Neurospora crassa OR74A: one gene and its partners. The protein of the gene in region 1 purifies or fractionates together with the protein of each later gene. This does not show direct contact. Links are inferred from orthologs where the notes say so. Each region holds a gene or a part of one and is shown in the gene's direction. Other genes may lie near its edges. The genes, in order: NCU07289, NCU03114, NCU03311, NCU06314, hat-2 and NCU17030.

The links.
Region 2: the proteins of NCU07289 (region 1) and NCU03114 purify together in Saccharomyces cerevisiae (affinity purification with western blotting; 4 studies listed by BioGRID, with this or other methods). This does not show direct contact. The link is inferred for Neurospora crassa OR74A from reciprocal best matches to the Saccharomyces cerevisiae genes SUA7 and SSU72.
Region 3: the proteins of NCU07289 (region 1) and NCU03311 purify together in Saccharomyces cerevisiae (affinity purification with western blotting; 4 studies listed by BioGRID, with this or other methods). This does not show direct contact. The link is inferred for Neurospora crassa OR74A from reciprocal best matches to the Saccharomyces cerevisiae genes SUA7 and RNA15.
Region 4: the proteins of NCU07289 (region 1) and NCU06314 purify together in Saccharomyces cerevisiae (affinity purification with mass spectrometry; 3 studies listed by BioGRID, with this or other methods). This does not show direct contact. The link is inferred for Neurospora crassa OR74A from reciprocal best matches to the Saccharomyces cerevisiae genes SUA7 and CLP1.
Region 5: the proteins of NCU07289 (region 1) and hat-2 purify together in Saccharomyces cerevisiae (affinity purification with mass spectrometry; 3 studies listed by BioGRID). This does not show direct contact. The link is inferred for Neurospora crassa OR74A from reciprocal best matches to the Saccharomyces cerevisiae genes SUA7 and TAF1.
Region 6: the proteins of NCU07289 (region 1) and NCU17030 purify together in Saccharomyces cerevisiae (affinity purification with mass spectrometry; 3 studies listed by BioGRID, with this or other methods). This does not show direct contact. The link is inferred for Neurospora crassa OR74A from reciprocal best matches to the Saccharomyces cerevisiae genes SUA7 and HRP1.

Annotation. Positions count from the first base shown.
Region 1 is NC_026504.1:4,507,577-4,512,776, reverse strand, and holds NCU07289 (transcription initiation factor IIB), read left to right. Parts: upstream 1-1,858; 5' UTR 1,859-2,528; coding exon 2,529-3,575; 3' UTR 3,576-4,153; downstream 4,154-5,200. Other genes in the region: NCU07288 (hypothetical protein), read right to left, coding at 1-83; NCU07290 (nuclear localization protein), read left to right, coding at 4,511-4,565, 4,732-5,200. UniProt on the Saccharomyces cerevisiae protein: General factor that plays a major role in the activation of eukaryotic genes transcribed by RNA polymerase II.
Region 2 is NC_026501.1:4,603,904-4,608,436, forward strand, and holds NCU03114 (SSU72), read left to right. Parts: upstream 1-1,968; 5' UTR 1,969-2,133; intron 2,134-2,366; 5' UTR 2,367-2,426; coding exon 2,427-2,569; intron 2,570-2,630; coding exon 2,631-3,288; 3' UTR 3,289-3,719; downstream 3,720-4,533. Other genes in the region: NCU03113 (SH3 domain-containing protein), read right to left, coding at 1-89. UniProt on the Saccharomyces cerevisiae protein: Component of the cleavage and polyadenylation factor (CPF) complex, which plays a key role in polyadenylation-dependent pre-mRNA 3'-end formation and cooperates with cleavage factors including the CFIA complex and NAB4/CFIB.
Region 3 is NC_026501.1:5,271,514-5,276,777, forward strand, and holds NCU03311 (polyadenylation factor subunit CstF64), read left to right. Parts: upstream 1-1,687; 5' UTR 1,688-2,221; coding exon 2,222-2,273; intron 2,274-2,351; coding exon 2,352-2,477; intron 2,478-2,547; coding exon 2,548-2,669; intron 2,670-2,738; coding exon 2,739-3,407; 3' UTR 3,408-3,968; downstream 3,969-5,264. Other genes in the region: NCU03310 (prohibitin-2), read right to left, coding at 273-599, 659-1,014, 1,083-1,332; NCU03312 (CorA family metal ion transporter), read right to left, coding at 4,032-4,308, 4,404-5,264. UniProt on the Saccharomyces cerevisiae protein: RNA-binding component of the cleavage factor IA (CFIA) complex, which is involved in the endonucleolytic cleavage during polyadenylation-dependent pre-mRNA 3'-end formation and cooperates with the cleavage factor NAB4/CFIB and the cleavage and polyadenylation factor (CPF) complex.
Region 4 is NC_026504.1:2,942,683-2,947,957, forward strand, and holds NCU06314 (hypothetical protein), read left to right. Parts: upstream 1-2,006; 5' UTR 2,007-2,666; coding exon 2,667-3,276; intron 3,277-3,347; coding exon 3,348-3,614; intron 3,615-3,711; coding exon 3,712-3,974; 3' UTR 3,975-4,454; downstream 4,455-5,275. Other genes in the region: NCU06315 (inositol hexaphosphate kinase 3), read left to right, coding at 42-1,233. UniProt on the Saccharomyces cerevisiae protein: Component of the cleavage factor IA (CF IA) complex, which is involved in the endonucleolytic cleavage during polyadenylation-dependent pre-mRNA 3'-end formation. Associates with HRB1/CF IB to form the cleavage factor I (CF I) complex.
Region 5 is NC_026501.1:2,719,506-2,724,590, forward strand, and holds the start of hat-2 (histone acetyl transferase-2), read left to right. Parts: upstream 1-1,915; 5' UTR 1,916-2,292; coding exon 2,293-5,085. Other genes in the region: NCU16368 (hypothetical protein), read right to left, coding at 1-243, 316-513. UniProt on the Saccharomyces cerevisiae protein: Functions as a component of the DNA-binding general transcription factor complex TFIID. Binding of TFIID to a promoter (with or without TATA element) is the initial step in pre-initiation complex (PIC) formation.
Region 6 is NC_026505.1:5,320,727-5,325,782, reverse strand, and holds the start of NCU17030 (heterogeneous nuclear ribonucleoprotein HRP1), read left to right. Parts: upstream 1-1,756; 5' UTR 1,757-2,371; coding exon 2,372-2,415; intron 2,416-2,481; coding exon 2,482-2,934; intron 2,935-4,407; coding exon 4,408-4,448; intron 4,449-4,566; coding exon 4,567-4,730; intron 4,731-4,797; coding exon 4,798-5,056. Other genes in the region: NCU04241 (TBC1 domain family member 22A), read right to left, coding at 1-514, 597-722, 790-799, 889-907, 973-1,017. UniProt on the Saccharomyces cerevisiae protein: RNA-binding protein, which is involved in the polyadenylation-dependent pre-mRNA 3'-end formation and cooperates with the cleavage factor CFIA complex and the cleavage and polyadenylation factor (CPF) complex.

The DNA of each region.
Region 1 (5,200 bases):
GAAGAGTTGGAAGGGCTGGGGTTAGATCTGTCGGGGCTGGTGACGTAGAAAGAGAACTCGGGGGCTTGGTGGGGGTGTGGCATTTTTCTGATTGTGTTGTTTTCGAAGACGATGTGAAGTCTGTAGACGCGTGGTGTCGAAAGAGTTGTTACGTATAACTGGAGGCATGGATAGGGTGGGGATGTGAGATCACTTATACTTGTGTCAGTCTTGCGGTATCATTCAAAATTAGAGGCTTGGGGAGAGGGCCCGTTGAGGATGACAGCACGGCTGTGTAGTGGTGTGTTCTTTGTGGCATGACGGCAACATCATTGAGTGGCTAGCGGGCTGGTGACAATCTTCTTTGTGTGGGTGTTTTTGGGGTTTATGGCTTTCTTACCGGGGAACGCGGATCTTTTTCGCGGATCCTTTCCGAGGTTCCTTTTCTTTGTCAGTGGTTTCCCGTTACTGTCACTGCCACTGCTTTCGAGTGGATTTTGCGCTTTGACTGCTGGCCGATGATGCTGCTGGTGTTAAGGAGCCGTGACTTGAAAGGAACATGCCGTTTCCAACTGTCGAGTGACTTGGGAACGGGTACACTATCCGGCTTCGAAGTCCATCACCACGTTGACAGCGACTTCTCTACGGAAGACACGAGGGGGGGCCTGAAACACAAGTCAGTTTCAGTTCCTATCAAGAGGCCTGGTGTAGCTTGCTACTTAGGCCACCAACATAAGATCACGATCTTCCTATTTGTTCCTCATGCACAGCCCACTTAGTCCACAGGTTCAACCTACTATAAATTTCTGGTGATTCCCGCAAGGATAGTAGTACCTGGATTCGAAGGTCGTTCTATCGTTGTTCGTAGACGCAGGGACCCCAAAGAGCCGTTACGAGATGCTGTCTAATATGCAGGTTTGGCGTGGCAGTCTTCAAGTCCCCTGTATCGTATCAGAGGTGAAGCAGATTGGTGTGGGGGAAGAACGTGTCGGTTCGATTCGATGCGATGCGGCTCGTCCATAAATAAGTGGAATCCCGGGCTCCGGATTGAACTCCGTCGATGCAACGTCCGGTCTCGGAAAGTCCGTCCGAGAACCATCAAGGATGCATGGCCTTTCTTTTGTAAGGCTGAAGGTATGCAGTGGCAACACGGGGGAAGGTGGGGAACTCCCCTGTTCCAAGGGAAGGGCGTGTTCGTCGACCTGGAAATCAGGATTCGGAAATGGTTTTGGAAGTCGAGAGATAGTACACTACAAAGCAGTCAAAAGCATTCTGCCCGTGACCACCATATCTGAAACTATCTCAACTAAGAGCTTTAAGTTGGGGATCGGACTTGGAAATTTGGTCGCCAAGTCTAGCCCTTCGACCGCGGCGAGGCTCATATCAAGCGCTAGAATTTCTAAGCCATTTGCAGGTCCAATGAGCAGTTGGAAGTTGTTAGTAGAAAGTGCTTCTCTTCAAAGAGGGACTTTGATCAAAAATCAGCCCGTTTCTCTCGAAGTACCTAACAGGGACCATATCCCCAAGAAAAACCATTTCCTCTTCTGAAACAAGTCCATTCATTCCAGGTCGACGAACACGCCCTAATAAGGAACGGTCCGCCTCGAGTCGCTACGTACTTAAGGTTACCTATGTGGGGCTCAGCAGCTGGGGTCAAGGCGTCCAGGTTGAATGGAAGCAAGATCGCGCCATGCAGTTCCTTGGTGCCTGCTGAGGTGTCACTGGGGCCATTAGCGATTAGGGCCAATCCTACAGCGGCTGTTTGCCAGTGTTACGTACCCGGACCTACCTCTGCAGGCCGAACCGCACCTACCTAACCGTCAGCCAAACAGCCGGAGCCGGCCCGTCAGTCTTCCTTCCCTGGAGGGTTTCCACTTATCTGCGACTCAGGTCAACAACAGGCAGCCGGACTGGGCCTTTTCCCACCTCCATTCTCTTTCTCTTTCTTTTTTTTCTCCTCAGGACTCCGCGCCTCGCCCCTTCGTCCACGCACATCTTGTCAACCCGTCACTGCTTGTCGCTCGCTCGCTCGCTCGCCGTGCTCAACCACAAATCATCCATCGAAAGGACGCTGCCGACAAAATTCTTTTGTCGTTGTTGAAGTCGGAACCAAGGAATTCAATTTCGACCGCTTTCCCGTAGGTTCTGTCGCGCTCGATCTGAAGTCCATCGAAGCATCTGTAATCCCCGACGACAACACTATCAGCGTACCGACCGTGACCCGACTGTTCTGTTCTGCGGCGACCTCACTCGAGTGCCTCCTCGGACGCCTTCACTGGTACACCAGAGCAGTCACGTCCAAATTCAGCGAGACAAGCCCATTTGCAACAAAGGGCTTTGATCTCTCTCGTCCAAAGCGACGCACCAAATCCATCAAAATTTGGGCGTCGCGCCACCTTCCCCGCCTTCGACATTTGTTCGACCATTTTTTATTTTCCGGCTTCTGGATCCGCTGCAGAAACTTGAACCCGCAGTTCACCTGGGTCACGACGATTTTCCCATTTCCTCCAGATAGTACAAATACACAGTACCGTTGAACAACGCCCAAAATGACCGATTTCATTATTCCCAAGCCTCCGCAACAGGAGAAGTTCAAGGAGAATCTCCAGAATCTCCTCATGTGCCCAGAGTGCAAGGAAGATCCGCCTCACCTTGTCGAAGAGTTCTCGTCAGGAGACATGGTTTGCGGCTCCTGCGGTCTTGTGCTGGGCGAGCGCATCATCGATACCCGCTCTGAGTGGCGTACTTTCTCCAACGACGACCAGGGCAACGATGACCCCTCTCGTGTTGGTGATGGTCCCAACCAGCTGATCGATGGTGACCAGCTCCAGACCACTATCGCGTTCGATGGCAAAAACGGCAAGAACCTGTCCCACCTTCAGAACAAGATCACTCAGGACAAGAACTCCAAGCAGCTTATGCAGGCCTATCGCGATATCCAGGGCTTGACGGACAGCATCAACGCTGGTACCCAGGTGGCAAATGCTGCCAAGCACATTTACAAGCTCGTCGAGGACAACAAGGCCCTCAAGGGCAAGTCTCAGGAAGCCATCACCGCTGGGTGCATCTTCATTGCATGCCGCCAAACGGGAGTGCCGCGTACGTTCCGCGAGATTTACAGCCTGACCAAGGTTTCGAAGAAGGAGATTGGCAGGGTTTTCAAGCAGTTGGAATCCTTCCTCCAGAAGATCGGAGGCGAGGAGCATGCAATCACGACCAGCATCCCCACCTTCAACCAGCAATACCAGGGCAAGGGATCTACTACAGCTACCGAGCTTTGCGCTCGTTACTGCAGCAACCTCAATTTCCGCAACTCAGTTGCGGTCGAGGATGTTGCCCGCCAGTTGGCCGACAAGACCAGCACTATTTCGGAGCTGGCTGGCCGTTCTCCCCTTTCCGTCGCCGCTGCGTGTATCTACATGGCATCCCACATCAGGAACGAGTCACGTACGTCCAAGGAGATTGCGACAGTGGCTGGTGTCAGTGACGGAACCGTCAAAACAGCTTATCGTCTCCTCTATAACAAGAAGGACAAGCTGCTTGAGGAGATCTTCCCTGAGGGAGTGCCAAACCTCGACAAGCTTCCTGCGAACTAGGGGCCTCGGGTGCGCGGGTAGTTTGGATAGAGCGTTGGCTCTTGGTGGGCGGCTCCGCTTCTTGATTTCCACGGGACAGAATCGCGGCGTGACAGCATTGCGTTTTCTTAAGCTTGACAGGGTGGTCAGCCTCACTGAGATGACAAGGTTATCCTACTGAGAACGTGGTGGCTTTTAAACTTTGGTTTACGGGCAAAAGACGATCCACAGGCACGTCCGGATTTTCGAGAAGCTTGGAAGCATATTGGTGGTCGGAAGAGAAGCAGGTTATCATATGCCCAGAATAGGGCTGGTGGCTGCGGAGGCTGGTTGCAGCGCGGCAGGACAAAGGGGCCTGGCACACTATGAGCATAAAATGGGAAACGAGGTTAGATCGATCAGCTTCTACTTACCCAGGCATATCGGAAGGGCATTTTCGGGTTTGAAAGTTGATCTTTCCTCGAGGCATTCAGGGGAATTCTTTCGTTATTTGCTATTTGACTTGGCACCGACAGGGACTTGGGGAATCAAGATAGTTAATACAAGATATCAATACTCCCCATATGGAAAACATGAAGTCTAGAAGAGACAGGTTTGTCGAATGTGTCCATAAGCTGGAATCCAGGACTTCAAAGGGATGACTTACACAGTACAGTGCTTGGTTTATCTGGTTGAAGGGCTTTGTCATCGCACCGTAAAGGAATTCACAGTGCGCTTGACCACTACACTGTACACGCCAAGTGGGTCAATGGGCAGTCGCTTCACACGCAAACCACCACTAGCAGGACTGACTGCAGCGGCTTCACGTCTCCCACCTGTCAACCGCGTCTCAGTAATTTTGACATCGTCACCTCCAAACCCCAAACACAACTCAACCGTCCGCCTTGCTCTGCGCCGACACTCCAAACCCCGATCACAGTTTATCGCCAAGCATACAATACGTTAGCTTCGAAATCATGCCTTCCCGGAGATCAGGCCGCGCAGCCGCGAAACGCGCACAACAGGCCCTCGGTAAGTTACTCGATTTCATCATCGTTTATCATTTGGCATTTCCTCCCTCCCTTTGCTTGTACAAATGTATTCCATATTGTGTGGTCCACTCCAACGAATGCAGCAGCCACGCGCAAATCCTTCCATTTCAAACAAGCAGTTACTTATCAAAGCCATGCACAACCAGAAAGCACCCCAAAGACATTCGAAGGCCTAGACGACGAGGATGAGCCTATGCCCGATGCCGATCAAGACGACGCCGAACCATCACAACGAGACGGCGAGGATGATGTCGAGAAGGATGATGAGTCGGGTGGTGATGGACACGAGGAAGAGGAAGCCCCAGAGGAAGACGAGTCGGGCAAGAGCCCAAGCCCTCCCCCAGAGCCTGTCATCCGCCGCCGACGCTTGGGGCGACCACCCAAGAACCGACCTCCCGACTGGGACACTCTGCCGATCGAACCCCCCAATCGTGACGAAAACGCTCCTCGCCGTCGCGGTCGCGGAGGATGGAGAGGCAGAGGCGGCCGCAAGGGCCAGCATTTTCAACCAACCCAGCAATCCATTGACAAAGATGGTACCGTTCTCGACATTATCAACGACGAGGTGGACCTTCCCGAGGACCCGGAGGGTGAGAAGAAGGTCGATAAGCTAGG
Region 2 (4,533 bases), on another chromosome or scaffold:
GGGGGATGAGCGGCTGAGGTCGAGGCCGAGGTGTCGATGGCGGGCGGAGAGGTCGCTGGAGACGAGGCTGGCGATATGATCGCCGTCATGGTCGAGGCAAAGGAAAAAAGATAGGGGGTTAGCAAAGCCTATAGCCTAGCAGTGCCTGGCGTGCCTGGAATGCGCCGCCCGGACAATCAATTGTTGTTGTGGATCCTTTCCAGGGCGCCGGACCGTCGCTGCCGTGGGAACCAGGGTGTTTTTTTGGCCAGGGTTCAAGTCTGGTTAGAAGACCGAGTACCTCTAGGCAGCGAAGGGAAGGGCTGACCAGCCTGTGGTGGACGGGCGGAAATGCTTTGCCTTGTGCTGTCGAGGCGGGGAATACGTGTGGTTTTTGAGGTCCGTCCGTGTATCGTAGATTCGTAGGGCTAGGGAGACGGTAAACTTATAGCGCCCAATTGTGTAGATGAGGCATGTAGCTGTGTGGACCACGGACATCGATTTGCAAATGTTTGATGCTTGCAAAGCGGCCACAACTACCAACGGCTTGTTCAACGGTTCGCTTGTCCGTCGTCTGAAGTCTCGGAAATGTAAGGGCTCTGGATTCTGAGTGTTTCGGTTTTAGGCCGAATTCGTTAAGGGATCCCGTGTGAGGGACGCAATGTAGAAAAGATAGTGGTGAAAGTGTGCGAAGGGGCACACTGGGGTAGCAAGGTGGGCAATTGTCAGCTTAAAGAGCTTGTATAGACATGGAGAGGCCTTGTGTGGTCGGCAAGCTGAGATGAGCGATTGCGAGCTGTCAATATAGACAGGGTATGGTGGGAACGGAGGGGGATTCGAAGAAAAGAGGAGAAGAAAAAGAGGCAGAATCTCAGGCAGGAACAGGTAGGTAGATTTGGGGGGGGGGGTGCCGCATCAAGTTACTACCTCTACTTACGACGGGATACCTCTAGTACAACTTGGACAAAGTTAAGCGCGCTGCCGCAGGTTTACTCCAGGTTTAGGCCTGCTCCTCTCATTGGCAAATAGCAACCGCTGGTCACCTGCAATCAATCAGTCGAACCTCTGAGGACGGGACTCGGTCGCCTTGGACCAACATACCTAACCTCTTTGCTTATCCTGTTAGTGTCGACCTAGACGATGGCTGGCAAATTTTTGGGTAACGAATCGGGGTTAGGTATGGGGGGCTCAAAAAGTCCACTTCAGAGGACAGCTCTCGTTGACAAAGGCGGGCAACTTGCAGGACACACTGCAGTTTCTGTGTGTCAACCACGGAGATTAAAACTTGAATTTGATTTTACGCCCAAAATACCTCTACGTTCTAACACATATCGAAACAGGATATACCACGCGGGTAATACTGCCATTTGCAAATGTACTTTCTACGTGTGCCTCTATTGTTGGTTAACATGTTCCAACGAAGAAAAACTTCGCACGAAACTCTCAACTTCCCGTCCCAACAGGGATGTTTATCACTGCATGTTTGTGTCCACCATTGGATGTTCTCGATGCCTTCGATGTGGGTGATTGGCTCCGTGAATGCGTCCCGAACAGCAACGTGGTACCCATGGAATTTCCCAAGGCACTAGCTATGAGTTGCGCATTCCCTGTGTGGGACCTTTTAAGAAAAGTTATTGAAAAGGTAAGTTCCAATGTTCTGTGCACGATATTCTACAGTGCATCGATACGCATGGTGACCGAGGCTCGAGGCCCGTGAGGTTTGGGTCCTGGGAGAAAAAAAAAATACCTGGGGATCGTCTCACTGTGATTCTGCAGTGCATATCCGCGGACCGCTGCAGACTCGAGAGGTGGGGGAAGTTGACGAGAACGGAAAGAAGGGCAACGGGCTGCAAGACGCACGAGCCACCCACCATTTCACTCTGAAACACTGAAACGTTCTAATTTTGGAAAGCGGTCAGATGGGGCACTATGTGCGTATGACCACCACTTGTCCCTCGCAGTCGGTAACCAAACAGATTTGTTCCAAATTCCACATCCCACTTTTCACCGTCCAAAATCTCCGCGCCAGCAGCAACTGGTGAACAGGTTTGGACATCAACGACATTTAACAAGTTATATATGTGTGGTAGCAGGCTACCTCGACTAACTTAATCATCATCTGTCTGCGCTTTGCGCTCAGCTGAAGCTTGAAAGGTAATTCCTGCGCTCTTTTCCGCTCTCCCTTTATCAACCGTCTCTTTCCTTTATGATGATCTTTTTATTGGAGCTGTCTGTAGCCTGCTATGTCTGGCGTTTGATGACAAACTTTTACATACGCTTTTTTTATCTGATGTGTACCGAGGACAACCTACACTTTTGCACTTGCCATGTCTGTATCGCAGAAGGGAACGCATTGATAACTAACATTGGCATCTTGCGCTTTCTAGGTCTTTCCAGTCAAGCATGCCACATCTGCCACAGTAACAAGTTACCTGCAACTGCCGGCTATGTCTGCTGTAGATACCCCAACTGGTGCCGCGAGCTCATCGAAGCCGGACCAGAATGAGCAGAATGGTCAAAACGGTGGGCGTGAAGACTCTGGCGGCTTCAAGCTAAAGTTTTGCACCGTCTGCGCCAGTAACCAGAATCGGTGAGCAATTTTACGCATCGCATCGTCACGCAACTGGATGACCCCGTCTAACCCTCACCAGCTCCATGGAAGGTCACTTGCGACTCTCTCTTGCAAATTATCCCGTGATTTCGTTTGGTACAGGCTCTCTTGTCCGTCTCCCCGGGCCGTCCATTACACAGCCCAATGTCTACAAGTTCAACGAAACATCATACGATAGTATATATCGGGAGTTGGAAGCCAAAGACCCTCGCTTATATCGCGCAAATGGACTGCTAAACATGCTTGGGAGAAACCGCCAAGTCAAGTGGGGCCCTGAGCGATGGCAGGACTGGCAGATTGGAATGCCTAGAACCAAGCACAAGGATGACAAGGGAGCTGATGGCATGGAGGGCGGCGTAGCTGATGTTGTCATCACCTGTGAGGAACGCTGTTGGGATGCTGTGATTGAAGATCTTCTCAACCGTGGCTCGCCACTTAACAGGCCTGTTCACGTCATCAACATCGATATCAAGGATAACCATGAAGAGGCATCCGTGGGAGGGCGAGCCATTGTCGATTTGGCAGACTCACTCAACAAGATTGCTGCCGAGGAGCGGGAGAAGGTTGGCGCTTCTGCCTTTGACTCGGGAAGCGTAGGCGCCAGATCAGGATTCGATGAGCGCGTACCGGACGTCCTGGCCGAGTGGCAGGAGAGATGGCCGAATCTTCCTGCGACATGGACTTTGGCTTGGTTCTAAGCATTGAATTGGCGTATTGTTTGAGCTCGTGCATCGTAAGGCGTTGGATGTTCTTTTTATTGCCTGGCGGGCGTAATCGCGGTTACGGACAGGGTGGGGGGTACATCTTTTTGGGTTCATGATTGATGACCAAACAACACAGACGAACAAGACGTTTTGGCCGTCACAACATAATGCTGATTTGGACTCGTAATCTCTATCAACAAGCCGTTGTTATCCGGGATTTATGAATTCTGCTGCTGCCATGATTGGCTTCAACTTGCTATTTTGTGAGGTCGCACCCCTCCTGGTTTTCTCAGAATATGTCGACCTCCGTGATTTGGCAGGCCATTTCCTCTTCCACCAGCCAGACCGCCAATTAAGCATTTTGTTTGTTACGCATATGCTTACTTCTATCACAAACATAATAATATCGCATGCATACATGCTCGGAGATGGGAGCTCATCGGCCCACCTGACGAGTACCCTGCATGGTATCCCAAAAAGCATTTTAAGATGACGAGCCGCACGGTTCATTATACGCAACATTGGATGCAAAGAAAACATAGCAGAATTTTGGAGATCTTCCTTGCTTATTGGGATCTGGGGTACTCAACGGTTGCCAGCATCTAGAAAATATCGAAACATGCACAACCGGGCAACCGGCCGTGCCCCCGCAGTGAGCAGGCCTACTTGTGACAATGCAACTAAACGCGCGAAGGTCAAAAATGAAATACATGGGGCTGTGGTGGCCATTGGACACACACTTGGAAGACGAAGACCATTAAGGTTACTGCTAATGCATGTTGTCACTACCTATCATGTTGGGGTGTTGGGCGGGAGTGCCCGAGGTCGAGGTGGCATTTGATGTGATGCGGGTATGCCTACATACCCATGTGGATAAATCTCAATATCTATATCGTCGGTCTCAAGTAAGAATTGCATTGTATTTCGGCAGACGATTGCCGGTCTTGGGCTGTTTCACAACGAGACGTTTTAGTGGAATGATAAACCACTGCAGCGGCGCAGAGTCGATCACCGTTGACTAACATGAGAGACCTGCCATAGTAGAAATGCGAAGGGGGCTTGAAGTTGGCGATCCCGTCAGAGATGAAGACGCATTCTGAGGCCAGGATACCATGTGAGAAAGGGGCTCGAAAGAGGAAGTTGTCGGGGTGTCTCACAAGACTATTTAAATTGCTCCCATGGGGAAAAGGGAACAACAGCTGCTCGGTCGCCTACTAAGTGCCAGGCCGAGATTGATAT
Region 3 (5,264 bases), on another chromosome or scaffold:
CCTTCGCGCTAGGTTGAATAACCGCTTTGGATCACTAATAGAGAGGATGCCTCGCACCTAAACAGGGCCATTTGCAGACGAGCTTTTCGATGGATATCTTTTTTGCGAAAGCTTCCTTTTCTGAAGATCATCGCTAAATCCGGCCTTTCCGATAAGTTCATTAAAGTCTGTTGTACACTTGGGGTTTCCGTCACATCCATAAGATACATATACAGCGGAGATTTTTATCCGTCATCTCATGCTCCTCCTCTCTAACTTCCAAAGGCCTCGGCTTAGTTGTCTTTGGACCTCCGATCTTCGAAAACGTTGAGGCCCAAGCCCTCAGAATCAAGGAGCAGCCTGTTCTTGCCGCCGGCCTCCTGGATGATGTTCGCAATTGCACGCGCATTCTCCAGCTTCTTCAATTCCACATACGACTTGCTCTTCTTGATGGCCTCACCGATGAGCTCCGCAGAACGGGCCTCACCCTGAGCCTTGACCACCATAGCCTGCTTCTCTTGACGCGCCTTGTCAACAATAAAAGCTGCGCGCTGCGCTTCTTGCTGTGCGACCTGCTTGGCCTCTACTGCCGCAGTGAATTCGGGGGAGAATGCGAGGTGCTGGGGTATGGTTAGCCAGAGATATCTACGACGCAAAAGAACGGGTGGAGGAATCGTACTGTAAGCGACACATCGTCCAGGAGGATGTTGAACCGGGCCGCACGCTTTGCCAGGTTCTCACGCACAAGCTTGGCAACCATCTCTCTTTGGGTGATCAATTGACTGGCGTTGAATTGCGCGACAACGCTCTTGAGAACCTCGTTGACGATTGAAGGAAGGACCCGCTCGTCGTAATCGGTACCGAGGGTACGGTAAATCTGAGGCAAGGCCGTGACTTCGGGTCTTGAAAGGACACGGCAGGTGATGTTGACCATTTGCAAATCCTTGGTACCGGTCAAGGAGGACACGTTTCTGGGCTTCGCGCGGACATCGTAGGTAATAGGGGTCTCGAACCAGGGGATCATGAGATGGGTTCCTATTCAACTTGTCAGAAAAACGATTAAGGCTAGCGAGATAGAGACCAAGCGGCGAAAGCAGACGAACCTTCGCCATAGATCTCCTTGCTAACACCATTAACTCTCCTGTACTTGATCGCTCTGTGACCACCATCAACGTTGAACAGGGAGTTTGAAAGGACCCAAGCACCACCACCAAGAAGGGCGAAACCGGTCAAGGCAGGGCCCAAACCGCGGGGAGGGATGGGGGGCCTGCCACCTGGGAAACCGCCGCCGCCGCGAGACCGGGCAGTCTGCTGAATCTTGTTCAGGAGATCCTGATATGGGTTGTTCGACATGCTGGGCTGCTGTGAAGTAATGGGCGGCCCAAAGATGATTTGGAGTAGGAGCCCTGGGTTGGTTGACGGATGTGGTGGGGAAATGGGGATTGAAGTCGTCACGATAGCTTGCCCGAGCTTTTCCAGCGTCGGAGCTAAGACCACCCACAGGCAGAACCACAAGCGAGGCGCATCACTAAAGTCCACTTGCCATCTGCCTACCACCCTACTGGCGCAACTGGGCTTCTAGGTACCGCCTGTCTCACTTTGGTCAAGCACAGACCATACGCTCACGTGGGTCGCTATAGCTTGTCGCGACGGGAGCAGGACCTTGATGGATCGTAGCTCGGAGACAAGTAGAGGTATCCACCCCCGCGACGTACATAGCCCCTGCATTCCATCGTCGAAGCGACACAGCGACAGAGAGTCCAATTTTTGACGTGTGCAAATCCAGAACTACAAACTTCCATTTGCAGCCACCAAAAGGTTGACTCCATTCCCAGAACTTCTCCCCGTTGTCAGAGTATTCCCACCTCGACCAAACCCCCATCTTACAAATCGACGGTATCTGGCAGCAGGCTTGGGCTTTGAAATTGAAGAGAAAAGGCTAAAGAGGACCCAATTGCCACCAGGTAGTCTAACTACGACTGTGTTAACTTCCATCTCATCCATTTGCCAAAGTTCGCTGTTCCTGCGCGGTCCCTATTGTTCCCATCGATTCATACCAATTCCTGGTTGCCCATCCCACCTGTCCAACATTTGGTTCGCTTGGTGATTCCCATTCGATCAGCCCACACAGCTCGCAGTCAAACTCACGCAGGATTGTGCCTCTCCACCCTCAGCAGCGCTACTGCTAGACACTTTGCGCTTCGTACAACATATTTGCTCGACAGTGAACGCGCGCATCGCCATGTCGACACGCCAACCTTCACGTGTGGTCTTCGTGGGAAACATCCCTTATGGTACGCAGACAACCCGCTTCTGTCCAGGTCAGACGACGACCATCTATAAAAGCCCACCCACTGACAGGGACAATGCAGGCCTTACCGAAGAGCAGATAACCGAAATCTTTAGCGGCGCTGGACGGGTCCTCAACTTCCGCCTTGTCTATGACCGTGAAACTGGAAGGCCAAAGGGTTTTGGGTTCGCAGAATTTCCCGACTACGGTGCGTATCCATCTCTGAATCAAGTATCCCTCTCCCGCGCACACGCTAATCAGCTTTCGCCGATCTCCAGATTCCGCTGCATCGGCTGTACGAAACCTGAACGACCACGAGATTATGGGTCGCAAGCTGCGTGTCGATTTCAGCAACGAGACTGTCAGCGACGAAGACGGTGGCAGAGATCGTGATGGCGGGGTATGGCACAAACCAACTCAACTCACCTCACTTTCACACCCAATCCACTGACCATGACGGCCTACCTAGTCGAATCAGAACGCCTCCGGTAGCTACAACGCTCAACCTCCCAATGGGGGAGGCTACAACACCGCTCCCCCCGTCAGCGCCGCCCCTCCTGCTCTCGGACCCTTGCCCCAGGGCAAAGACCTTCCCCCCGATGTTACCTGCACCGACGCGATCTCCCGCACCCTCAACACCCTTCCCCCGGCTCAACTTCTCGACATCCTCCAGCAGATGAAGACGCTGGCGACGAACGATCCTGCTAGGGCCACGGAACTTCTCAACCAAGCGCCCCAGCTGAGCTACGCGATATTTCAAGCGCTCCTTATCATGGGCCTGGTCTCGCCGGACGCTATCAACTCAGTTCTCGACAACCCGGCCGCTGCTGCTGCTCCTCCTATGGGTACTCCCGTTGTCCCCAACCCTATGGGCGGTGCTCCGTACGGAGCTTATCCCGGCGCCATAGCCACCCCCCCTGTTGCCCCTGGTCCTGTTGGAGGCTACGCAGCACCACCTGTCGCCGCGGCTCCTATTCCAGCTCCGACTGCTGCTGCTGCTGCCCCAGGGCAGGATGCAGAGGCGCTGATGCGTGCCGTTATGGAGTTGCCGCAGGAGACGATTGACAAGCTGCAGGAAGCGGAGAGGCAGCAGATTTTGGCGCTTCGCGCTCAGTTTTCTGCTCAGGGCCTACGCTAATATGACAGACGGATGATTCAACCAGTCAACTTTCCGTGAACATGGGCAAAAAATATGTATTGGGGCCTCATGTTCCTGTTTTTCTGTCGTTATGCATTCTTTTCTAGGCTGGTCAGGCGTTATGGTGGTGGCGGTCGGTTTCACACTCTAAATGGGAGCATTGCAAAGGTTCAATAGAAAAGGGTAAATATCGGTGAATTTAACAGCCACAGTCTGGAAGCTTAAACCGCTGAACAAAGTCAAAGTTTCGTAACGATGTATACTGACATAGCTTTGATCAGGTAGACGACACACATCATCAAAGGGATGAAGACAGAGTTGTGGACTACATGACTTTGCTTTCCGCTTTATTCTTTTAGAAGCATCTGTCTATCCAATCGCGAAAATGACAGATATTCAATCTCACTCCACAAAACGCCATCACCACCCCACAACGCCTGTATTTCGTTCTGTTTCTTTTGCCCATCCTTATTAACCAAAACGCTGTCATGTAGACATGTGCTCTCTCAGTACATGAGAGGATCTTGACCTTTTCGTCCAAAACATAGTCGTTGAACCCGTATGGTACATCATAAGCCCTCCTCACTTGCCTCCACTCACTCGCTTGCGTGCCTGTCTGTATCTTTACACAATCTTATACACACGCTTCGCAATCAGATAACAGCCAAACCCAAAAAGTAGCAGTCCCGCTGTGATGGCCGTGAACCACTTGAGGTCGCCCTCGTTCCCCTGCCCAGGGACCCAGACGTTCATGCCCCAAAGACCGGTAACGATGTTCATGGGGAGTACAATGGTACCCAAGACGGTGAGTCTCCCGAGCACGTCAGCCGTCTGCTCCTGTCGCTCGTTCATGCGTATGTTGATTTGCGCTAGGTAGTTGGCATGAGATCGTGCTAGGATTCTAAGTTGAATGATATGTTAGGATTCTGGGTTTGAAATTTGCTAGAAAGTAGTAACTAGTGGAGAAGCAATTGGATTGCTAGAGAGACAACTTACTTCTCATAGTGACTCAAGTTCGAAGTCATGGTCACAATATGATCCTGAATGTCACCCAAGTACAGACCGATCTCCGACCGAGGCGCCACCTCCCAATGCTCGTTGCAACGCTTTGCGAAGCTCTTGATGACGTCGGCCTTGTTACCGAGCAGTCTGTAAAGCGACATCACCTTTTTGCGGCAGTCGCCCACGCGTCTGAGCATGTCGCGTCCAGATTCGGCCGATGTTGCGTCGCCGGCCTCAGACTTTTCTTTGAGATTATCCGTTGGGAAATTCGGATCGTCTTCTGAGTGCAGTAGCAAAATGGCTTCGTCGATATCGTCGACTTCATCCTCGATGTTGTGAATCAGCGGACCAAAAACATCGGTAATGTCGTCGATAATGGCGTACGATATCCAATCCGATGAGAGAATGAGATAGTCACGCAGCTGACGAATTCGTCGACGCACGTTGGCCGGGTGCGGTGTTTGCGAAAAGTGGAAGCTTAGAACGCCCTCGCGGAACACGACCACGTACATGTTGACGGGCTCCAGAAAATTCTCGCTTGCTGAATCTTGGTCGAATGAACGATAATTGACGAAGTAATAGTGCCGGAAAAGTTCAACTTTTTCGCGAGCTTCCTGCATCATGATATCTTCAGCTGTGAGTGGGTGGATACCAAATGCCTTGGAGATAACCTTCATCTCTTGCTCGGTCGGGCTATAGATATCCAGCCACCACACTGGTCGGTCTCCATATTTTGGTGGCTTGCTTGTCTTTTCCGTCGGTGGCGACTTGGAACGTTCCGGAGATTTGGTATCTGTTGGCGTATGCTCTCCTGAGGTACGTTTCGAGTCCGTGACTGTCGTTCCAGCGTTCGAG
Region 4 (5,275 bases), about 1.6 Mb from region 1:
CTCACCCGCCTCCGCTTTTTGGGCTCTAACCTTTCGGGCAGTGACGGTACAATGTGCGATTCTCAAGGCGAACTCTTCATCAAGCCCTGCACCGATCAGGAGCTTCAGTTTTACAAGACGGCCAATGAGAGCCACCAAGCGTTCGCCGACTTGATGCCCGTTTTTATGGGCGAGCTAGAACTAAACGACTCGACAAGCGTCAGGGACTTGGATGAACAGCTCCCCGCTGTTTCCGAAATACTTTCCAAGGAAACAAAAGAGGAGATCATCAAGTTTAGCAAGGAACAGGCTGCTGAGGCCGCCGCCCAGTCCCCCGCGCCGAGCACTGACAGACAGTGGACGGAAAAGGCCAAGTCCAGAAAGATCGAGACCAATAAGTCGGTGGTGCTGGAGAATTCAGCATACGGTTACACGCGTCCTAACATTATGGACGCTAAACTCGGCAAGCGGCTGTGGGCAGATGATGCGCCCAAGGCGAAGCAAGAGCGGTTTGATATAATCACCAAGGAAACCACCAATGGCTCGCACGGGTTTCGCATCGCCGGCATGCGCGTTTACAAGGGATCCACCAACCCCTCTGAGCTGGACGAGCAGGGTTATAAGGTCTACGACAAGCATTACGGCCGGTTAGAGGTCAATGCCGACAATGTTGTGGAGGCGATGCGCAAGTTCATTTTCAATTCTCAGGCCGGGATAGATGAGGAGCTTGGCAAGATCATTGCGGGTCTCTTCCTCAATGACCTAAAGCGCATCGAGGAGGTGTTGGCTTCGGAGGAGAGCAGAATGTACTCGGCGAGCTTGCTGTTCACATTCGAAGGAGACGGCAACGCGTTGAGAGCTGCCCTTGACCGGACCCGAGCTGACATGTCGGGAGAGCAATACAAGAAGGATGATGGACCGTACACGCCAGGTCTATCTGCATCTCGCGTTGATAGTGGCATCGAGATGGATGACGAGGGGCAGATGGTGTTTCCAATCAACGCAGCCATCGGCCAAAACATGATACTGGCGAACCTGGCTCAGGCACCTGGTTCCCAAGACATCCAACTCACTGCCGATTCCGACGCAGACAGCATGTCGGGTTCCTCGAACGGCGATATTCCTCGCATCTACTCCCTCAAACTCATTGACTTTGCACATGCCGAGTGGACACCCGGGCAAGGCCCAGACGAGAATGCTCTGTTTGGCGTTCGGAGTTTGATCAAGATCTTTGAACAGCTGGCAGATGATTGAAGGGCGGGTTTCCGAAAGCAATCGTGGAGTTAAGGCGGCATTTCAAGGCGTTTGGGATTGCAATTGGGGCTACCTTGCGAGACTACGGTTAGAGCATGTCACGGGCAGGTTAGAGGAAGGAAAAGAGACGAAAAGGGAAGAGAGCATATACGAATATATATGCATAGGTAGAGGAGAGGTTTTTGACGTCCGTTACGAACATCATTGAAAGAAGGGGAACCAGCCACACGGGCTATTAGGGGGACGGCAATTCTTTTCACGCAATATACCCCTTATTTTTGTTGTACGCTGTTATCCGATCTTGCCACAACTTGAACGTAATTGTAGTATCTGGATGTGGTTGTTGTTGTTGATGTTGTTGTTGTCTGTGACAGCAATTCACAACTTGCGCTGGAACCATATGCCATATTTTACTGTTTCAATGTTTTTTCTTGAAAATCTGCTATGAAGGCAGACATGCTACTGAAATTTGACAAACTCACCAGCAGCTGGTTAGAGGCAATAGGTACTAAAACGGGCTGCTTTTAACTCGATTTTCAAACACTCGAACTGGGACGAAAAGTGGAAGCGGAAAGCACAATTACACCTGGCAGTCTGGAGTAAGACAACCTCAATGAATGCCCTTGACACGCTTAGTACCTTCAGGGTACACAGCGTTTGAGCCCCACTGCCCGCAGCCGCTAAACTCACCTCAGCTTCAACAGCCCTGGCCTTGCTGCAGTGAGCATCAGCTCCCCGTCTTCCACTTAGGTTCCATTGCATGCCACAATAACCTGGAATCCCTGCATGCCAACGGCTGGACTTTACAACTTTCACCCCCATCGGCGCAAACGCAAACAGAACCTTACAAGAAGGAGAACGAAATACAAGTACATATCCAACAGCCTGTGAACAACCTCGTTCACGCGCTGAACACAGCCCGCAATGTCAATTCCAGGCCTCGGTCAGATAGCCCCGCAGGTAAACGAACCCAAGCTCTCGCGCGGACATGCTTCGTATAACCCCAGGCGCGCACGTGTATCCAACGGCATCACCATCTCCTCACAAGCCATTATTATCCATAGGCACACTCGTGACCCGAGATCACAACCAGCTAACCATCGCCTGCCATTTGCCCGTTTTCGGTAATCCAGGCTCCCACAACCACCCAGCGGACCATTAACCTCCGACCGTTCGGCGAATGGCGCTTCTCCATCCCCCACCAACACAGCACCTTCTCATCGAACTCCTCCGCCGCCGGAGTCACCGTCCGCCTCGTCGCCGGCACTGCTGAGCGCGATGGCACTGAGCTCGCGCCCAACTGCGTCTACACATTTCTCCCCGGCACCAAATCAAAGCTCTTCACCGATCAAGGATGCACTCTGGAGATCAACAACACGGGCGGCTACCCCCTCGAGGACCGCGTGGTTGAACACCCGCCGGAACAGTCGCCCATGCTTAGCTATATCAACCTCCACTTTGGCCTCCAAGACCACGAGCGTGCCGCGGCCGCTCAGGCACAACAACAACATCCTACACACCACCAGCAGCAGCAACAAGGGAGAGGAGCAGGAGCAGGAGTAGCGAGGTCAAAACCCGGGCCAAGAGTGCTGATCTGTGGTCCACCCGGCGTCGGCAAGACCTCGCTGGCGAAGCTCCTCGCTGCCCTCGCCACGCGCATGGGCTCTCAGCCGCTGGTAGCCAATCTGAACCCGACCGACGGGCTGCTGTGTCTACCCGGAACGCTGGGTGCGGCCGTGTTCGGCACGTTGATGGACGTGGAGGAGCCGGCGGGTGGGTTTGGCGTGACGAACACGCCGATCAGCGGTCCCAGCGCGGTGCCAGTCAAGAACCCGCTCACATTTTACTTTGGACACGAGAAGGTGGAGGACGACGTGGACATGTGGAGGCAGATGACGGAGCGGCTGGCGGTGTTGGCCAGGCGCAAGTTTGAGAGGAATCGGGATGTGAGGGTGGCGGGGTTGTTGGTTGATACGGCGCCGGTGGAGGCGGGGGACAAAGAGGGGCAGGAGCTGTTGGGGTGGGCGGTTAGGCAGTTTGATGGTGAGTTTATGTCTGATTGGCCTCCAGAAAGACCTCATCAAGAGTGACGAAAGCTAACAATGCAACTATAGCAAACTTCGTTGTGGTGCTAGGCTCTGAACAGCTAAAGACAGAACTTGGGCAGCGGTTCGCAAGCGAGAAGACGAGCTTTGAAGAGCCGATTACTGTCCTCGGGTTAGACAAGTCGGATGGTGCTGTACAGATTGACAAGGCGTGGAGGCAGAAGTCTACAGAGACGGCGATTAAGGAATACTTCTTTGGTGGCATTAAGGCGCGCTTGAGCCCCTTTACACAGTCAGCCAGTTTCGACGAACTAGTCGTTTTCAAGGCGCCTGACGGTGAGTTTTCTCTCTCTCTCACTCTCTTTCTCTCGCTGCACTGAAACTACCTCACCCTACCTGGCACCTAAGCTAACGCCTGTCTTTACCAAAACAGAACCCTATGAAGGCGCCCCAGTCCTCGAGCGAGTCGAAATCACCCCCGAAATGGCCCACTGGACGCTAGCAGTCATGATCGCTTCCGTGACCGACTCGCCGCAAGCCATCCGCTTTTCCTCGGTCCTGGGCTTCATCGTCATCGCCGACGTGGACCAGGAGCGCAGGCGGGTCAAGTTCCTGTCGCCGGTCAGCGGTCGGCTGGGCAACCACCCGCTGATATGGGGACGCTGGCCGGAACCGTATCTCAACCTCCTGGCGTAGGCTCGCCGAAACGTGATACGGGTACGGATGAGAGATGGTGGTCACCAATTGAGCCTGCAAGAGACAAATGATCTCCGGGTTTGCTTGAAGGTGTGGCAAAAATTGACGGATACGGCTGGCGTTGGGTTGGGCTTCGAGATGGAAAATGGTGAAAATGGCATGTAAAGGTGTTTGTTGTTATTCTTGCTTTTGGGTGTCTTTTGACTAGCATGAGAGTGAGCGGGAACAGATTTGGTACCTTGTTATTCTCCTTTGGTGGCTTGTTTGATTCTTGTTGAACATTGTTATTGGTACTTGAAAACGCAAGGCATCAGTCAGTTGTATGCTTTTTGCAACACTCATATCTACCAGTCACTCATTGATATGGGTTTCGTGGTAGAGAGCATGATTTTTGGTCTCTTGAGAGTTTTGAACGTTCTGCTCGAAATGGAGAGTTCCTAACCAGCTTCAGAAAGTAATCGTACTATATCAGCAAAGCTCACATCCAAGTTTTCCCACAGTAATAAGTAGATCAAATTAAAGACGCCGAGATACATATGTCTCAAGTTAAACGTTGTTAGGAATAGAAACAAGTTATGTGCAATGTGTTTACGCTGGTTGTAACATAGTATAGAGTCTTCCCGTTTGGTACTCGTCTAAGAACGTGACCGATTTGTTTATGGTTGGTTCCCCCTATTCTTGTTTTCTATCCTGGCCCATGAGGCTATGATACTGATGGTGACCATTCGGACGAATGACATTATATGCAGTAGGTCATTTACCTTCACCTTATCGCTAGAATCACATAGTGAGCGTGACGAGTTACCTATATAAGGGGATTCAAGGGCACCAGGGCACCGTTAAATGTGCATGGCAAGTAAATTTTCCTGTACATTGACATGCTCCCCTCCGGGAGTCAGTAAAAACGTTACTTCGTAACTCTATCAGCAATGGTTATTCACTTTGCTGGAGAAAGAGGTACATCCTCCACTAGGAATAAATATCGCTGTCCTACAGTAGTTTCTTATGGTACGTAGAGCATCATCTTTCCGAATGGGTATAGAGTCTGGGGTGTGTATCATGATGACTTCATATTGTCAGCCTGCCTTCGCAGGCTAGCTCGTTATCTGAAGTTGTGGATAAAGAGCGTCCGTTGGAGATTGCCTAACTTGTGCTTTCTTTGTCCACTCACTGTAGCTGACCAGCGTCATGAATTTTGCTGAATAATGAACAAGATATCTACCTTGAGCAATACTGGTAGTCATCGTATAAGGAGGACAAACCGGAGAACTCATATAACATCACGTGGTCAATCTGGCTCT
Region 5 (5,085 bases), on another chromosome or scaffold:
CTGATCGACGTGATCGATCATAACGGATAAGCCATCGGGGCCGAGCTGGGAAGAAACGGCGGCGAGACGGGGGACGGCGGATGCGAAGAGCGGGAAGGATAAGAGAACGTTGACATGGCGGTCTTTGGATTGGTACTCTTTGAGGAGGGGAGTGATATTTTCGGCTTCAAGGATGGTTGAGACGATTAGCAGGACGGGAATGGTGAGGTGGTTTCCGACTTGGAGGCGGGTGAGCTCTGTTGTCTATATGTTGTTTACAGTTGTCAGTGACAGTTTTGTTTTGTCGTTTTAATGGGTCATGATCCATTGTTGTACCTTGTGGGTCTTGATATGAGCTCTCCATTGCAGGCCAAGGTTTTCGGCTGCTTCGAGCATGCGCTCACAGTTCACCATGACCTGTTTAAGGTCAAGGACGACGCTGGGCGTAGGGACCTCGGACAGCTGCTTGCCGACGAACCTCGCCCTTAGAGCATCTTGCTTTTGCTTCAACTCTTCCATTACGGGGTTTGCCATGGTGAGCAGTGTGGTATTTTTGCCCTCGAAACTTCACTTGGTGTGCGAGGTAAAGAAAACGGTGCAAAAGGCGATGACGAAGCTGCTATGGTAGACGCAGTATGACTGTGGCCCACAATATCGGCTGATTTGTTACATTCTTTAAACCACCTAATCCAGTCATCTCAAGAAAGAGGAATAGTACCTCTAGTAGGTAAATGTAGCTTTGGCTTTACCGACAGCCTAGTACGTAACCATGGCTTCGGCCGTGGCTTTAACACAGTTTCCCACTGTACGTCAAAAACACCATTGGTAGTGAGTGTACTGTTGCTGAACTTCATGGCCCTGCCAGTTCGCAGGGTATAACATCCGAACTGTCATGCCAAAAACGGGCTGAGCACTGGTATGGGCGTGCGAGTGTGGTTGCAGAGAAATGAGAATCCAGAGAGACTGGAAATGACATCTCGCATCAGTTCAGGTGTGTTCTGCCCCCCACGTTGCGGGTGACATTGTGGCCATTTGGCCCGAACAGAGAGGGAGACGGGACTTAAGTTGCGCGTCACTCTACTGTTGTAAGAGATCAATTAATCAGTATTTGATTTCGCTCTCGATTCATGTCTCTTCGCCTCCAACGGGGTCCTATTCCTTCTGTACCTGCCGTTGATTTGGTTGTCACACAAGGCGGGGAAGCTTTAGTTCTTCCTCCATATTCTTTACTTTACCTGGATGGTACTTGTAAGTTGTAGGTGAGGTCGCATACCGTATAGACTCGGGGCGTTGGTTTTCAACTTTCTGGGAAATCAGGCCTAAGCTGTAAGCATACTGCAACATTCATGCCCACCAAAAATTCTATGCAAGACGGTGATTTTGAATGTCTCCACGCTCCAGCGCCCTTGAAAAGATAGGTGTTTTAAGGCAGGACATTGAAGAATCGAATTTACCGTGCTTCGGGGTGGCAACATGGAAGTCTCCTCCAATTAATTTTGTGGACATAAAATGCACATAATCGGGCAGCATGCTTACAGGTTATGCCTGATTTCCTAGGAAGTTGAAAATCAACGCCCCGAGTTTCCAGGTTGTACAGTTTAGGTATTAGGTACCTGGGCTACCTACCTCTACCTCTACCTGTACCTACCTACCTATTCCAGGTTCCTTACCAGATTCCCAAAGCAAGTTCCAGGTTCAACGCTACCTAGGTATTATGCTTCAAGACCAGGGACAGTGTGCGCGAGCCATTCACTGCACTTAGCGTCCCCCAGTCACTGCCCTGGGGCTGCTCGCTAGGTATCTAGAATAGGTAGGTACCTAGGTAGGCTGTCACACGGCTGCCAGACCCGGGCCCGGTCAACGGACCCACTTAGAGGTACCTAGAGTAGCCGTGCAGTGGCCCCGACAGGCCGATTCGTTGTTCGCATTCAAGCACGCTTGCACTCCGCGCAGTGGCAGTGTGCTTCCTTGCTTGTGGGAGGTTCAACACTTTTGCAACTTCCGCTAGGTACCGTTGCAACCTCAACGTCAACCTCACCCTCGACTCACCCGACGGCCATTTCGACTCTGCCACAACCACGACCCAAAATTGCATGCGGCGTTGCCAACACCCCACCAACACCGAACGCGCGCTTGGTTCACTTTGCTCCCCCGCCGCGGGCATTCTCGACGATTTCTCCGCTCCAGGATCATGATCTGACAGCTTAACCGGCCGCGCAACCGTTGGAGGGAGCAAGAGAGAGACGGGCGGACGACTGCGCGACAGACGACAACACACAGCGTTGAGGCGGCATCGCCTCTCCGCCCGGCAAGATGCCCGCAGACAACGACGACTTTGATTTCAACGCCCTCAATGAGGAAGGATGGAAGGAGCAGGAGGCCCGCGATGAGGAAGCCATTCGCCAGATCAACAACAGCTTCGGCCCGGGTGGTAACGATGGTCTGACTGAAATGCTGGGGAACCTCCAGTCGGGAGGCGAGATCGATCAACGAGGCAAGGCAGACGATGCCATCGACTTTGAGGACATCGACTTGAGCGACGAGGACGAGCTACCCAACGACGAACCGAGCACTTCCGGCACCAGTGGCGAGCTGCCAAGCCTCATCGACGACGCCGGCACTAATGATGACGACGACCTCTTTGGTGGCGACCCCTCATCGCCCATGGACACAGCTCACGATGGCCTGAGATCCTCTCCCCCGCCGCTCGACGTCCATGACGATGTTGATGCCAAAAAACGTCCGGATGCTGCCGCCGGGGAGTCCCTTGAAGACCTCCGGAACCTCAACTTCGACAATGACGAAGAGCCGCATGCGACAAATCAAGATCCCGACATTCCTCCGCCAGCGGAAAACTTCATCGACGCCGTCAAGCAACTATTCCCCGGTTTTGAGGAAAACGCCATCCTGCATTGGAACGAACTATTGAAGCCCAAGAATGCCACATGGATCTCAAAAAAGCCCCCCAAAGCTCCCAAGCCCTTGATACCATCAAAACTCAGTCTGGAGTTGGATGCCGATCAGGAAAAGCAGTTCCGGATTCCGGGCCCTGCCACTGGCTCCGTTTGGCAGAGGATTAAGGAAGCGGAAGCGAGAGGTCTGTTCTGTCTCGAAGAGCCAGAGCCTTTGGAACAAACCGATCTGGAAGTATTCAGCTTGGACGACGAAACGGATTCGGAGAGGATAGGTGGATATACCCTCCAGGACATAGCTACGATATGTCAGGACTGGGAACAGATGATTTTCTTGGGCGACAGTCTTGCGGCTGCCATCGAGCCGGGACCGCAGCCGAAACCTGACAACATGCTCATTAAGGATGAGCCTGATGAAGAGGCGGACTGGGATGCCATGTTCCTCGATGAGCCTGCTCAAAAGCGGAGAAAGATCGAAATTCCTAAAGGTCTTCCTCCTATTGCTCACTTCACGGCTCCAAATTTGGACGAATTCGAGCAGGTCACTTCGAAATTGGGCAAGCGTGTCATCCTTGACATGAACGACCCTTATTTGCTGATAGACGACGTCGAATCTGAGCGGTCATCTAAGCGGCGAAAGACCCAACATAAAACGGTCCGCTTGGCGAATGGGAAAGCTGGGCGGGACCTTATACAGCGGTTCAATTTCTCCTCTGACGCTGCTTACGACGCGTTGAAGGAGAACAGCCAGAATAGGGTTCGGGCCACGTTGGCTACTATCCCTGTCGAGCACAGTTTGCCTGCGCAGAGACTGTCTTGGCCTTACTACCGCGTCAAGCTCGCGGCCAGTGACCCTCATAGTTATCACCGGCCTCAGCTCCACCCTAAGAAGGATCTGCAGTATCTCATCAGGTTCGACAAGCCTGCCATTATCAAGCGCAAGACTCTCAAGGGTAAACGCGTCAGCGAGGTATTTAAGAGTACTCATGACCTCTCCCTCAACGACAACTCGACCGCTATCCTTTTCGAGTACTGCGAGGAAATTCCCACCGTTCTCTCCAACTTTGGCATGGGACAGAAAATCATTAATTACTTCCGTCGAGCTAAAGGCGCTGATAGCAGACCTGAGAAGCGTGAGCTTGGCGAGACTTGTATATTGATGCCAGAAGATCGCTCACCCTTCGCCATCTTCGGTCACGTCCACCCTGGCGAGGTCGTGCCTACTCTTCACAACCACATGTTCCGCGCCCCTATTTTCAAGCATAACCCGAGGAATACAGACTTCCTGATTGGTCGTAGCAGTACCGGCCAAAAAGGCTCAACTTGGTACATCAGAAATATCGATCATCTTTACGTTGTCGGCCAAACCCTGCCCTCCATGGAAGTCCCAGGGCCCCATTCCAGACGTGTTACAAACATTGCCAAGAATCGTCTCAAGATGGTCTCGTATCGCCTACTTCGCAAGAGCGAGCATGTTACCCTCCATGATATTACTAAGCATGTAGCTGAGTCCAACGAGTCTCAGAATCGTCAAAAGTTGAAGGAGTTCCTGCGCTTTAGAAAGGAAACAAAAGATTGGGCGCTGCCCGAAGGCGAAGAGCTAATGGCCGAACCGGCCATTCGATCTCTTGTTAGGCCGGAAGAGGTCTGCCTATTGGACGCCATGCAAGTGGGCTTGCACGAGATCGAGAAGGGTGGTTATGATGCTACCGATTCCCTCAAGGACGATGACATTGGGGTTGATGTGAACGATGAGCTCTCTCCAGATGCTCTTGCCAACAAGATGGCGCCTTGGAAGACTACCAAGGCATTTCTTGACGCCAGTCATGGCAAGGCTATGCTTGCAGTTCATGGCGCCGGCGACCCGACGGGCAAGGGACTGGGCATCAGTTTCCTGAGGACGTCCATGAAAGGCGGCTATCTTGAGCAGCTCCAAGGACCAATGGCCACATCAGCAGATGCCATAGAGAGGCAGCGCAAAGCGAACGGTGGGCACATGTACAACGTCAAGAACCAGGACACACTCTACACCGAGGCTCTTACCGATATCTGGAACCGCCAGCGGGAGAGTCTCTTGGATTCCCAAGAGCACGATGATGAAGATGTGCTTGGGCAAGAGGATGAAGACGAGCGTTTCAACGTACAGGGCAGCCAATTCGCGCAAACCCCTGTGGTCCAGGACGGTTTTAGTCAG
Region 6 (5,056 bases), on another chromosome or scaffold:
GATTTCCTTCTGGGAAGCATTAGGTGGTACGGAAGGATGGTTGATTAGGTGTAGGGCGTTTGCGGGATCGCGGAGTATGTCTCTGTACTGTGGTCGGAGGATCTTGCCTTCGGTCTTCTTGGGCATTGGGTAGGTAGATGCTGGTCGCTCGATGGCTATGTCGGCGCTGTCCGAGTAGCGACGTCCGGTTGCGTCTGTGAGTGTGTTTGTCGCAGTTCCTCGGCTGGTTCCTTGTTCAGTCTGCGCTGCGATCCGACGCGACCTCCTCTTCATGCTGGACAGACTGGGAAGCCCAAAGTCATCGTCACCATCGTCTTCGTAGGCGTATACATCGTCTGCGTCGTCGGCCGCCCAGTCTTCGTTGGTGCTCGTTATGAAATTCATGTAGTTTTGGAAAGGAGGTGATGTCACCCCTTTGATATGGGGCGAGGCTGTACTATTGGAAGTGGTTCGGCCGAGGGCAGAGGACGAGGGAGGAGGGGTTCGTGGTCGCGATCCGGCGTTCGACAGATTTCTAGTCCAAGAGCGCCATAGTCAGCAAAGACGCCGTCGTTTCCCAGAGAGACATCCAAACAGTAACGCCGGCACCAACGCACAATGAATCAAACTTGAGCATGTCGGCATGGGAATAGGCAGCGCCAACGACCTTGCCCGAGTCGCGAGTGGTCGTCTTCTTTAGCGGGGCATCCTTCTGGGGCGCTCTCCAAAAAGGGGAGCCAGAGCTGTCGCATTGTCCGAGTCATGTCAGTGTTTCCGTCTTTGAGTTTAGGAATAGGACTTGGGACATACTCGGACCTGTCTGAAGCCATGACGGGACATGGGATCAGCAACTGGTTATACAACAAACAACGAAAGAGGGGGGGGTTGTAGTCATCAGGCAGGACATACCAACTTGCACCATCTCCTGCTGGCGTAGCGACATCATGGCCTGTTAGCATCATTGGAGTGAGGAAATGAAGCACTAACACGTACCTGGGGAGACGCTTTCTTGCCCGAGCTCGAAGAAGAAGAAAACATTATGTGAGTGGGTAGTATACAAACAGGACTGGTGATTTCGCCTTGGTTTACCAGCGCAATGGCATCACACCATGGTCAACAATGTCGTTCGTTGAAAGGGACGGAGGGAATGTCCATGGAGCTAGACAGGCAGACAATGGAAGTGGCCGTTCCTGTTCCCTTCAATTCATTGATGGCGTGGTCGTGTTAAGCCCATCGGCTCGTTTCCTGGGTACACAGCGGTTGCCAGGCTCGGGGCCACTAACAAACACATGGCTTTTGGCAACCGGGCACGTCCAGGGCATCTTGCCCATCATTCAGGTCATCTCATCTCGGTGTCTTTGCCTTCCTGTTCCAGCAGTGATTGACTTCAGTTGGACACCGTCCGCCTGTCACAGCTCGCCAGCTGTTCGCCAGCCTCAGACGGGCAGCCGATGTCGCTCACAACTTGAACCACTACAGCGCATGGGCAGCCCACCTCAGAGGGTGTGATAAGGTGCGCTGGACTGGCACCCCCTTCCCCGCAGGTACACAGGCCTCGTTGTATAGGCTGTTTCTCACCGCCTACGCGCCTAGAGGTAATTGGCCCTTGCAGACCTACCATAGGTACCTACCTCTAGACACGCGACTGCCACCTAGGTGGGCAAGGGAAGTGCCGTAGAGGAGTCATGTAGAGGTAGTACCTAAGGTAGGTAACGTCTTTTTGTTAGTACCCGACCCCAAGTCTTGGTTGCCGGAAGCGCCCCAACTCGCGGTGCCGGTGCCTTGAATCGGGGTCCACACCCGACCGAACCTTAACACTCGGCGCCAAACTGAATGGGACTGCAGGGCAGCGGCGAGGGGACTGAGGCAGGCAGACTGATGGAGTTCCAGGTCCGGTTTCTTCACTTGAAAAGCAAACGACGTCCACTCTTCCACACTTTCCACCTTCACTTTTCTACCCAAGTCAAGTCATCCTCGACAGCAGCAATCACAACCACAACCGACGACTTCATTAGTTCACTTGTACACCCAATCCGTGCCCAAATTCGGGTCTTTTGATCTGAGGGAGGAAACTGTACAAGCACCTGACGGACTCGACTTCCACCCACCTCGGGCTCTACTTGAGCTGCTCCGAGGTCCATCCGCCGCATCTCTTCTTGCGACGAGACAACTCGACCACTACGATCCATTCGCGTCTCGCTGCTTCTCGACGACTAGACCATCTTAAGTTGTGTATTCTTTCTGACCTTGTTCGGCCTGGTCTACTTCCAGCAATCCTTCCCCGCCCTACGCCATCTCAGCGTTCCACACAAATACCAGTCTGAATCAACCTCAACTCTCATCTCTTTTCCATCTTCGATACCCGGTATTCAAACACACAACAACCGCCAAAATGGCCGAAGCAGAGAATTACGAGGATGACCTCTTCGACGACCTGTATGTTATTTTGAGTACTCGCGTAACCACCCAATCTGAACATGATCTGACACTCTTGCGAACTAGGTACAACGACGACGACGCTCCCGCTGCCTCAAAGCCAGCCGCTGCACCAGCTTCCGCCCCCACTACAGCTCAGACTTCAGCTACTGAGCAGCCTTCTCAACAACAGCAGCAACAGCAGCAACAGCAAGAGCAGCAGCAACAAGCTGCCGCCGTCCAGCAGTCGGCTGCTGACAACTACGGAGGATCCAACGACTACAGTCAGCAAGGCTACTACAATGGAGGCAACGGACAATACGGCAACGATGAGGAAGAAGACGAAGACGAAGACGATATCGACTTCAATCTCGGAAGCGGCCCGTCCACCACGGTCGCTCGCCATGAGGACGACAACAACAACCAAAACAACAACCAAAACAACAACAACAACAACAACAACAGCCAGTCTCAATCGCAATATCATGCTCCCCCACCGACCCAGGCCCAACACAAGGGCCCCAATGCCAAAGAAGATGGGTAAGTCACATCCCCTTGATGCTATTCGTGACACACGTATATGCTCGTAACATCCCCCAACCCCCGTACAACCCCTCTCTGTATCCTCGATTTCGCCCCGACGCAGCTGCAGCCCCGCCCAGGCTCTCCCACATGAAGAGATGAACACCTACTCGAGACCCGCTCAGGACGTGGCGTCCCAGAACTGCTCGGTTGGCTGGTAGGGAATGGAAGGATTGGGCGGCGCAAGGACCTGATGAGCACAGTAGAGTCTTGGTATCAGACACTCTGAGTTACTCTGGCGCGTATGGGTGAACCATACCGTATGGATGCACCAGGGGCTACAAGACTGCAAGTGATCAAAGGCAGGAAGGGATCGCTCTCCGCTATGGACGTGAACATAAAAATCGGGAGAAAAGAGGCTGGAAGCCGTGGACTTGTCCAGGGTCACGCCATGGATCAAGCTTCGACGTCAGATTGATCCCGGAGTACGCTCCTGTCTGTACTACAAGAATGGTGGATGGCCTTGCGGAGGTAATCTTAATAGGGCGTGAGGGAACCGGCTTCCTTTTGCCAGGACGGTCGATGAGCCTGCAGCCAGAGCAAGATTAGCAGCGAGAAGGGCAGCACCCAGAACAGATACAGACAGTACCTAGCTTGACGGTAGCAAAGAGCTCGAGACAGCAAAAAAATTCGAAGAAAGATTCCGGCACACCCAGAGACCACTTGGAAAGTGGAACATTGCTGCGCTGCTGCATCTTCTGTTCACTCTGGGAACTGCCGTAGCATCCCCCCACCCTGGCCCATTTCCGTCAAGTCAAGTCAGCATTCGGCACATTAGGACAGCAGTCGTCTCGTCACCCTTGAGAACATCGCGGAGGCGGCTTCCAACTTCTCATTCGCCAAATGACAACCATCATACGGTCCTCGGTCGGTGGGCTCCGCCAACCTGCGAAGCCAACGGGAGAATCACATCCATTGCCACACCCACAGTCAAAACACCAGGCCCAGTATAAACAAGATGAAGGGTAGTTCTTCGGATATTGATGGTGGAGCCCATGCTATGTCAAGGATCATGACGGTAGACGGTCCATGTGGTCGAACTAGAGGTCTGGGATAGACATTACCTGAGGCTGCTCAAGTCCTGGCGCAACGGCTGGGCAAATGGGCTTGCTTCCCCAGTTCACGCTATATGCACGCGCCTCTCCAAACAACGGCTACAAACATGCTTCCGCATCACACTGATTGGTAGCTCTTGGGTTCGCGTGTAGCCATATGCGGATTCGCTCAGGATTTGGGTGTCTAAAGGGCTAGGCGGCTGGGGCTGTTTGCTTGATCACTCGCAATGTCTTTCTCACATCCGCATTTCATCTCATCGAGCCCACACATTCTTCACTGCCCTCATGTTACGCTTACTTGTTCATGTCCAGGTATCATAGATTGCTCAAAAGATGATGTTGACTAACGTCTTGCGCGTGCGCTTGTGTCTTATAGGAAGATGTTCATTGGTGGCCTGAACTGGGAGACTACAGACCGTAAGCCTTGCCATTTTCCCTGTCCTCTCCTCATGGTAATTGTTGCCCTCAAGGGGCACCATATGTACCATATGGTATTCGTGACAGTTGTACTGATACCGGTCTTGTGACTTTTTAGAATCCCTGAGAGATTACTTCTCGCAGTTCGGCGAGGTTGTAGAATGCACCGTTATGAGAGATGGCGCCACCGGTCGCTCGCGTGGCTTCGGATTTCTTACCTTCAAGGACCCAAAAACAGTGAACATTGTTATGGTCAAGGAACACTACCTTGACGGCAAGATCGTACGTTTGCCCGCCATAGCTCGTCTAACCCGTCAAATAAGTGGCCACTAACTCATTCTCCTTATAGATCGACCCGAAGCGCGCCATTCCCCGCGATGAGCAAGAGAAGACTTCCAAGATCTTTGTTGGTGGCGTTTCTCAGGAGACCACGGACCACGAGTTCCGCGAGTACTTTGCCCAATTCGGCCGTGTCGTCGATGCCACCCTCATGATGGATAAGGACACTGGCCGTCCCCGTGGTTTCGGCTTCGTCACCTTTGAGTCCGAAGCTGGCGTCGAGGCGTGTCTCTCTGCCAACCTTGAGATCCATGGTAAGCCTATCGAAG